2 linked regions of the Struthio camelus genome follow. The protein of the gene in region 1 purifies or fractionates together with the protein of each later gene. This does not show direct contact. Links are inferred from orthologs where the notes say so. Each region holds a gene or a part of one and is shown in the gene's direction. Other genes may lie near its edges.

Region 1 (3,748 bases):
TGAACAGTGACAAAGAGAATGGGTTTAGGTTGCATGTTGACAAGTAAATGCTGAGGTTTGTGGCTTCTAAATAGGAAGAAATTGAAGGCACCTCACTTAAGATGCAGAGTCAAATATAGAAAGAATGTGAGTGTTTTACCGGATCACACCCTAAGTAAGAGTCAGTGCTGTGCTTGCTGTAGAGAAAGGTAAAACAAAAGGGGGACAGTATGGTAAACACCTTCCAGCCTATGCACAGTTGTTATAAGAGGGCTCCTGTCAATTGTTTTTTTTCTTGTTTGCTGCTTTATACAGCAAGGAGAAGTAGGTGTAATTTTCAGAGAAAATAGATCTAGCTTTGTTATTAGAAACAAATCTAAGTGCAAGGGCAGTGGCAGGTTGTTTTCATGTGAGGAATTGTCTTTGCAGCAAGTTTTCAACAAGTATCTCTCAGGGATGGTGTAGGGCTACTTGATCCATTCCAGTGTTGCAGGTTTCCCAATTTCATGTTCCCCTGCCAGGAAGCAACACTTAACCCGCTCGACCCAACTTCCACTCCATACTAAGACACCAAACGTTTTTGGTACCAACTCTATGCATATTTGCCATACGTACATATATGCCAGTGCACAAGATTCATTTTAGATGGTATTTGGGGCTGTACTAAAACAAGCAATAATTGACTTAGAAATCAATCGCACTCAGGCATTGAGCGCAACTGCAGCAAAACAAAACAATTAGCGAAACTTTTATCGGCACCATAAATTGCCGGTAAGCAGCTATGCGCGCTCTCAGGTGCCAGGCACCCTGGCAATTAGCCGCACCCAAGGCACTAATTGGTAACCGAGCAGGGCTCTGACTTGGGAGCCGGGCCGAGACCTCATCGGGGAAGGTTGGGGCTGGAAGGCCCCAGACGCCCCCAGGGAAGGGGCCACCCTCGTCCCCGCAGCGGCCATGCGCCCTGCTCGGCTCTGCCCTCCGTTACGCCCGCCACAGCCCCTTCCTACTACAACTCCCATCAGCCCCCGCTCCCTCTAGCGGCGCATGCGCCGGCCGGCTCCCGGCGTGCCCCTGGCCGCGAGGCCTTCTGGGCCTCGTAGTTTTCATGTCTTCCTCAGGCCCTTACTGGCAGAGCGGCCAGGGACTCCATTTCCCGTGGGCCTGCGGGCGGCGCATGCGCCGCGCGGGCAGCGGGGCGAGGTGGAGCGGGGGGGACGCGGGGAAGCGCAGGTTCCTGTCTGCGCTGGCTGCGGCCTGGCACTGAGGGAAGGGGCGACCCCGGCCCCGGGCCCGGCGGCGGTGGCGGCGGCGCAGGACTATGGACCCGGCCGAGGCCGTGCTGCAGGAGAAGGCCCTGAAGTTCATGGTGAGGGGCCGCGGCGGTGGGAACGGGGGCACCTGCGGGGGTGGGGGAGGGGCGCGGGGTGAGGTGGAGGAGGAGAAGGGGGAGCCAGGCCGGGGGGGGCCCTCGCTGGCGTTGCGGTGAAGCAGGGGGAGGTGGCTGTCCCGAGGGGGTGAAATGTGGGGGGCTGGGGAAGGGGTCTGGTGCGCGGTGCGCAGACCGGGGGGCCGCAGGTGCCGCCTGGGAGCGGGAGAAGTTCAAACCGGGCTGGGAGGGGGGAGGGGGCGCTGCGTGTGTCCGCTGGGTTTCTGCTTTTATTTGTGTACTTGAGCCTCCCTTTCTGTAGTGCGCACCAGCCCGCTGCGGTTCTTGTTCTGTTTTTCCTGCCTCTCTGCCCCCAGAGCTGTATGTATTGCCACTTTAATCCTGCGCCTCCTCCCGCTGTGTATCCCTGATAATGAATGTAAAGAGCACTTATATTGTCTAGGTTTGCGAGTGGGTCTTTGACACAGAAAATAGCCTTGGGGTGCTTGCATCCAAGATGTTCTTTGAGCGTGGCTAGCTCACTCTAGGTTTGAGGCATGATACACTTGAGTTAAAACATTATTTCATTCTTTTTTATCATTTATTGGTATTTTCAAAACTTTGGGCTACAAACAGTAAGATTTGGAAATGGAAACAAACTGCTGCCAACCAACTTGAGTATTAACTTTAGCCCCAAACTGTTCTTTCCCTAAGGATGTTACTTAAATGAATGGCAACACTTGCTAAAAGTTTGTTTTGGATCAGTGCTTTCCATGGTACAGAGTTAAGTTTAAGTTCATCAAGAAGAAGCAGTTCTATTAGATCTTCGGAACGTATGCTCAAAATGAAATTGAGGAAATGCTAGTTGCAAATTTTAATTTTTAACTGCTCTTCAGAACACTTGCTTGGCTTGCGGCTTTTAATCTTGTAGAACTTGTTTCTCTTGAGACTTTTTGACCCTTTTGCTAGTTTTCTTAAAGCTTGTCAAATTTCTAGAGTCTCAGTTCAACAAAGTGGGAAAACTTTGTGGATAGCTAAGTAGGCACGGAAGCAAGTAATAACAAATTATCCTCTTTGTTGCGTGATTGGCTGTTGGAGTATGCCAGGTCCTGCTGTGCGTGCATTTGGTCAAGCTTAGTAATTACAGTCTGCATCTGGATAGATAGTGAGTTTCATATCCGGAAAAGTTTCTCTTGAAAAGTTTCTGTCTTGCACCAAAGGACATTGTAAACACATTATCCTGACATCTCATACGCTGCTTTTTTCCCACCCCTTGTGCAAAGATTCCCATCTAAGAGTTTATTCCAGGTACTTGAAATCCTCCATAAGATTGGGCCTGGCTACCTGAGGGAATTCTTGTCCATCTTGCAGCTGGCTGTGTTCCACTCAAACAATAAAAGTCCCTGGCACTAGGGAGAGGCCTGAGTGTGAGAGAGTGCAGCCTACAGGAGCTGTATCTGTTAAGAGCACAAGACAAAGGAAAGAATGATCAAGGGTGGGGCTGCACTGAGAACTAAAAGCTAAACTAAGTTCTTCAATATTTTATTAAAAAAAAAAGAAAAACCTCTCATATGCAAAACAAATCTAAAAAGTGCAACAGAACATGTAGCCTCCCTCTGTTGCCTCCCAACTGTTTAGGCATTTTTGTTTGCAGGTTGACAGGAGAGTGAGAAAGGCTTTTGTGTAACGCATCTTAAGCTTTTTCTTTCACATGCATTTATATAATACCTGCCTCTCACTTTAGTTATGTTGACAAAGTAAATCTTTTATTGGACATTGTGAGGTCTTTCAGTCTTCCCCCTTTGCAGTTCATGGAGATGTAGCAGAAGTAGGTTGTTTCAATATGTAAGATTGTCTTATTTAACTTAGATATCAGCTTGACTGTGCTAGAAAGTCTCTTGTTTCTGTCTTTTACACTCAAAAAGTCTTTAGGTACCGCAGTAATAGCGTTGCTACAATTACCTACCTAGATTGGCTAATGCATCCTCTCAACTGATGCTGAATCATTCGCAATGTATTATCCTGTTCATCCAAGTGTGTGAAACGCTTCATGTACTGTTTTCTTATTAGAGGGGTCACAGTTTGGGTTGAAGGGGACTATGCTATTGAGTATTGATTTTTCTCAGTGACTTTCCCAAGTGCCAAGATATTTCATCGTAGTAAATATTCAAATATCCCTTGTAGGGATGGGACCTGCTACCTCCACAGCTTTGGGTGGTTTTGTTTCTGATACAGATTTCGACTGAATTTCATTTCATGTTGAAAACAGCCTTGTAGGTGGTAGTATTTTTGTCCTTCTCTAGAAAAAAAATATTACTTTTTCCACTTAAAAATAACTGTGCCTAATTTTTGGCAGTAACTTTGAGCTTCTCTCTTGAATCACAAGATATCAGGTGAGACAGA
Region 2 (3,748 bases), on another chromosome or scaffold:
TTGTCCAGAAGCATGGCTGGAAGCATTGTTGCTTCCTTATGCCACAAATAATGTCATATTCATAGCACCTAGGATGTGGAAAATACAGGCCTTTGCCTGCTGGAGTTTCAAATCCTCATCTCTGAATACACTGTTGTGCCCACTTAGGAGTAGGTTGTTTTCAGGGGGTAGGAAGTGAAAGGTAACCTCTCATTGCTCCTCCCATTGCAGCTGGATAACCTTATTGAAAAATATGAAACAGAAAAAGGGAAGGCGAGCTCTGTAGTCAAGAAACTAGGACTCCTACCTGCAAAAAGAGTAAGCTGGGGTCCAAACCCCACTGCAAGGGCAGCAGTATGCATGCTGCATTGAACACTCACTGTAGCCTTCATCATACACTCAAGGAGCAGGGCAGACTAGACCAGAACACAGATTTTCCCCTCTGCAGACAATCGCCCTAACTCCTGAAACTCTACAGATTTTGTTTCTCCCTCTGTGACTCAAAGTATCTTGTGATTTGTTGATTTTTTTGACTATCTATAAGGGGGCACATTGTCAGAAAGGCCCCTTTCCCTTAGGGTTGTGTGAATGGGTTCTCTCGGCTTTGGGAGGAGAGCAAGCTACCAGACAGCACCGGCAGGCCAAGGACAGGAAACATGAGCGCTGACAAGACGGCTGAGAAGAACGAATTTATGCCAAAGCCAAGTTCCTCCCCACCAGAAGACACCCAGCTCTCTGGGTTTTCTCTGGAGACGCACCACAGAGCGTCCAAACCCACTTGCTCTCCTCAGACGACATCTCCTACTGCCACTGCTGGAAGCAAAACATCTGACGGGCCGCTAGTCGCCCCCAGGCCGACGTTTCTCCCCGTCTTAACACGCCCTCATCACCCACCACCGCCGCCATTTCGCAGGCCGCAGCGGCGCGGAAGGCGGTCCGCGCATGCGCGGCGTGCCCGAGGCTTCCGGGAGCTGCGCGACCGCCCGCGGTAGCAGCTGCCGGATGGGCGGCGGGACGGTGGCGGCCGCCGCGGCTTAGGCGGGTCGCGGAGCCATGGCGGGGCTGCTCGCGGGGCTCCTCTCGTGCCTCCTGGTCGCGCTGGCCCCCCGCTGCGCAGGTGGGCCCGGGAGGGTAGGGCGCTGCGCCTTTGGCGGCGGGGCGCGCGGGGGCGGCTCGCGCCGCGTCCGTTAGCGTAGCGGGGTGGGGGGGGGGGGTCGGCGCGGCGCGGCGCGCGCCGCCGCTTCTGGCCGTTGGCGGCCGTTGGCGAAGCGGGGTCGCGTGCCCAGCCCTCTTGTCAGCCGTGTGGCCCCCGGCGGCGCCGGTAGCCGCGGGTCGTGCCTTGTGCCTGGGCTCTGTGCTGCTGTCCGCCCGCGCCCCGCCGCCGAGACCCGTAGCGGTGCTTGCCGTTCGCGGCTCGGCTCTCGGTTTCTTCAGGAGGCTTTGTGGTGAGACGTGGTCCTAGAAGCTGCTGGCAGCGTGGGCGCTGTGGTGTAGGCACAGCTCGGAGGGTATAAAAGCAGCCCGGATCTTGAATCTGGATTGGGTGTATCGTCTTGAGTGAGCAGGGCTCGGTGTAAGTTAGCCACCTAGCGTCTCGGTTTTTACCGTAGGTGATACATTTAGGTAGCTGTATTATCCAGTCTGCTTCAGGTTTACCTGCTGTATATGAAAAGTAGTGGCTGTAGTGTAAGTGTTTTGCAAACAGGTTCTTGAATCGTGCTAGTTTGCTTGAAAGGCATCTCTACTTAGCTTGGTAGAGCATAAAGTTTAAATAGGGAAATGAGAAAAGTAAGATTGCAGGAGGATTTTACCTTATGTGATAGCAACATAAGCCTCTTGTTATATCCTTAAGCATAGGGAAACCACATGTTGCTCAGAGCCTGCTTTCTTGAGAGGGAGATGTCAGGCATCTCCTGTAAGCTGTAAATTACCTTCCTGCATATTTATGATACATGACAGAATGCAGCAGAGAATATTTGGGCTAAGCTAGTTTGAATAACGGAGATGTTAGAGCTATGGGCTAGTGTGCGTATGCGCTTCTGATCCTAAGCTAGGCTGAGTTCTGGTAACTCTATAAGATTGCATTGTTTCAGTTTGGCATACCTAAAGGAAGGCTGGAGGCTGTTTTCTGGGGTCCACACTTCATGTTTGTGGTAGGATTCAAGCAGTTTGAGGACCTCTTGTGTTTCTTGCTTTCAGCTATTTGATATCTTCTGGTTTGTAAATGAACGCTTAGTGCATCACCCCAAAATTCCAGTCCCGAACTGGAAGTATTACGATACATGTGGCTACTTTGATTAACCCACACATTTATAGAAAATGAATAACGTGCCACATACCACAAGGGTTAGAAGAAACTGGCCGGCTGCAGTGACCTCTCACCTTCTGCCTTGCCAAAAAACAGCTGTTCCTTTCTGCTACTCCTGATTAAAAGTTCTTGCAGTAACCTTGGTTCTGTAGAGAACCTTTCCGTCCATGGAGCCAATAACAGTTTGATTGTCTCTGATATGGGTTTGGTTGTGGGTTTTGTTGTTCTTTTCAATGTGTTTTAGTATCACATATAATAGATCTCCTTTCCTTCCTATGCTAAAGGTTGAGTTAAAGTTTCCATTGGTTCCACCCACATAGTTAACGTGATGCTCTACTTTGCCCTCTTCTGAGGAGGTATATTTGTGTCTTGCTAAAACTAGTTTCTTCTGTTGTTAGATGACTTTTTGTTATGCTGCTGTGTTACGTAATCTTTGTTATTTTCAACCATCGCTTATTGAAAATACTCACTGGAATTAATTAATTGTCATTTATCCTTTGAGTATCACTAGCTTATAGCATTAGAACAGATTTTTATTTATTTGAGTTTATAAAAATATGACAAGGGAAGGAAGATAGGAAATCTTGCTAAAAGTTTTTTTTGTCTTTAATCTCTTCTTTCTTTGGCAGTCTAATCTCTTATAATATTATCCTCAGCACCAAAGTGTTGTGATGCTTTATATTAAGAAGTATGAATTGATCTTAAATGTGACTGCGTTTAATCAAGAGTAAAATAAGCCAGCAAGAAGTCTTGATTTTAGTGACTAACTTTAGTCTGGTTTACATTTGTTTATTTATGAAAAGTTTGATTCTAATTATCTAAATATCTAAATTATGGGGATTATCCGAATCTTGGCTATCCTTTCTGTTCCCCATAAGATCATGTTCCCCACATATCTATGTAAGCAGCTACAGTTATAATATGCATTTATGTTTTTAATACTTTACACCTGGGGAAAATGGTGATCCGTTCTGCATAGAAATATCATGATTTCTATCAGGCACTATTTGGAATGGAAACTAAAATTCAATTAAAATTCACAGGCAGATTATTCTTAATGAAGTTTTAGTTTTTTCAGGTAAAACTGGTACGAGTGTATAAGATACATATCTCTAATATTGATTTATTAAGCAATGGAAGAATTCCCTTTAATGGGAGAATTCGCCATCGACGACTGATTCATCAGGGTTTTAGAATGATGCGATCTTTTCATCTCCTCTTTCTAGTGGAGAAGAAGAAAACAAACTTTCCATCTTTTTTATTGGCTAATCTGTTTTTCAGCCTTTGACCGTTTCTTATACGGAACTGTTTGGATAAACTTAAATAAAACATACTGATATCAAAAGCGATTTTGTCACTACCGCAAGTTGTGGTCCCAGATGCTGAATCATTGTCAAACTGCTCAAGTTATTGAAAAACTTTTAGGTTTAAAGTCAGACTTGTCATGATTTTACATCTGAA

The links.
Region 2: the proteins of BTRC (region 1) and IFNAR1 purify together in Homo sapiens (affinity purification with western blotting; 4 studies listed by BioGRID and IntAct, counting the BioPlex papers as one, with this or other methods). This does not show direct contact. The link is inferred for Struthio camelus from reciprocal best matches to the Homo sapiens genes BTRC and IFNAR1.

The regions. Positions count from the first base shown.
Region 1 is NC_090948.1:16,138,087-16,141,834, forward strand, and holds the start of BTRC (F-box/WD repeat-containing protein 1A), read left to right. Parts: upstream 1-1,171; 5' UTR 1,172-1,297; coding exon 1,298-1,345; intron 1,346-3,748. UniProt on the Homo sapiens protein: Substrate recognition component of a SCF (SKP1-CUL1-F-box protein) E3 ubiquitin-protein ligase complex which mediates the ubiquitination and subsequent proteasomal degradation of target proteins. Recognizes and binds to phosphorylated target proteins.
Region 2 is NC_090942.1:120,310,968-120,314,715, forward strand, and holds the start of IFNAR1 (interferon alpha/beta receptor 1), read left to right. Parts: upstream 1-911; 5' UTR 912-1,032; coding exon of another isoform or gene 1,033-1,096; intron 1,097-1,512; exon of another isoform or gene 1,513-1,552; intron 1,553-3,748. UniProt on the Homo sapiens protein: Together with IFNAR2, forms the heterodimeric receptor for type I interferons (including interferons alpha, beta, epsilon, omega and kappa).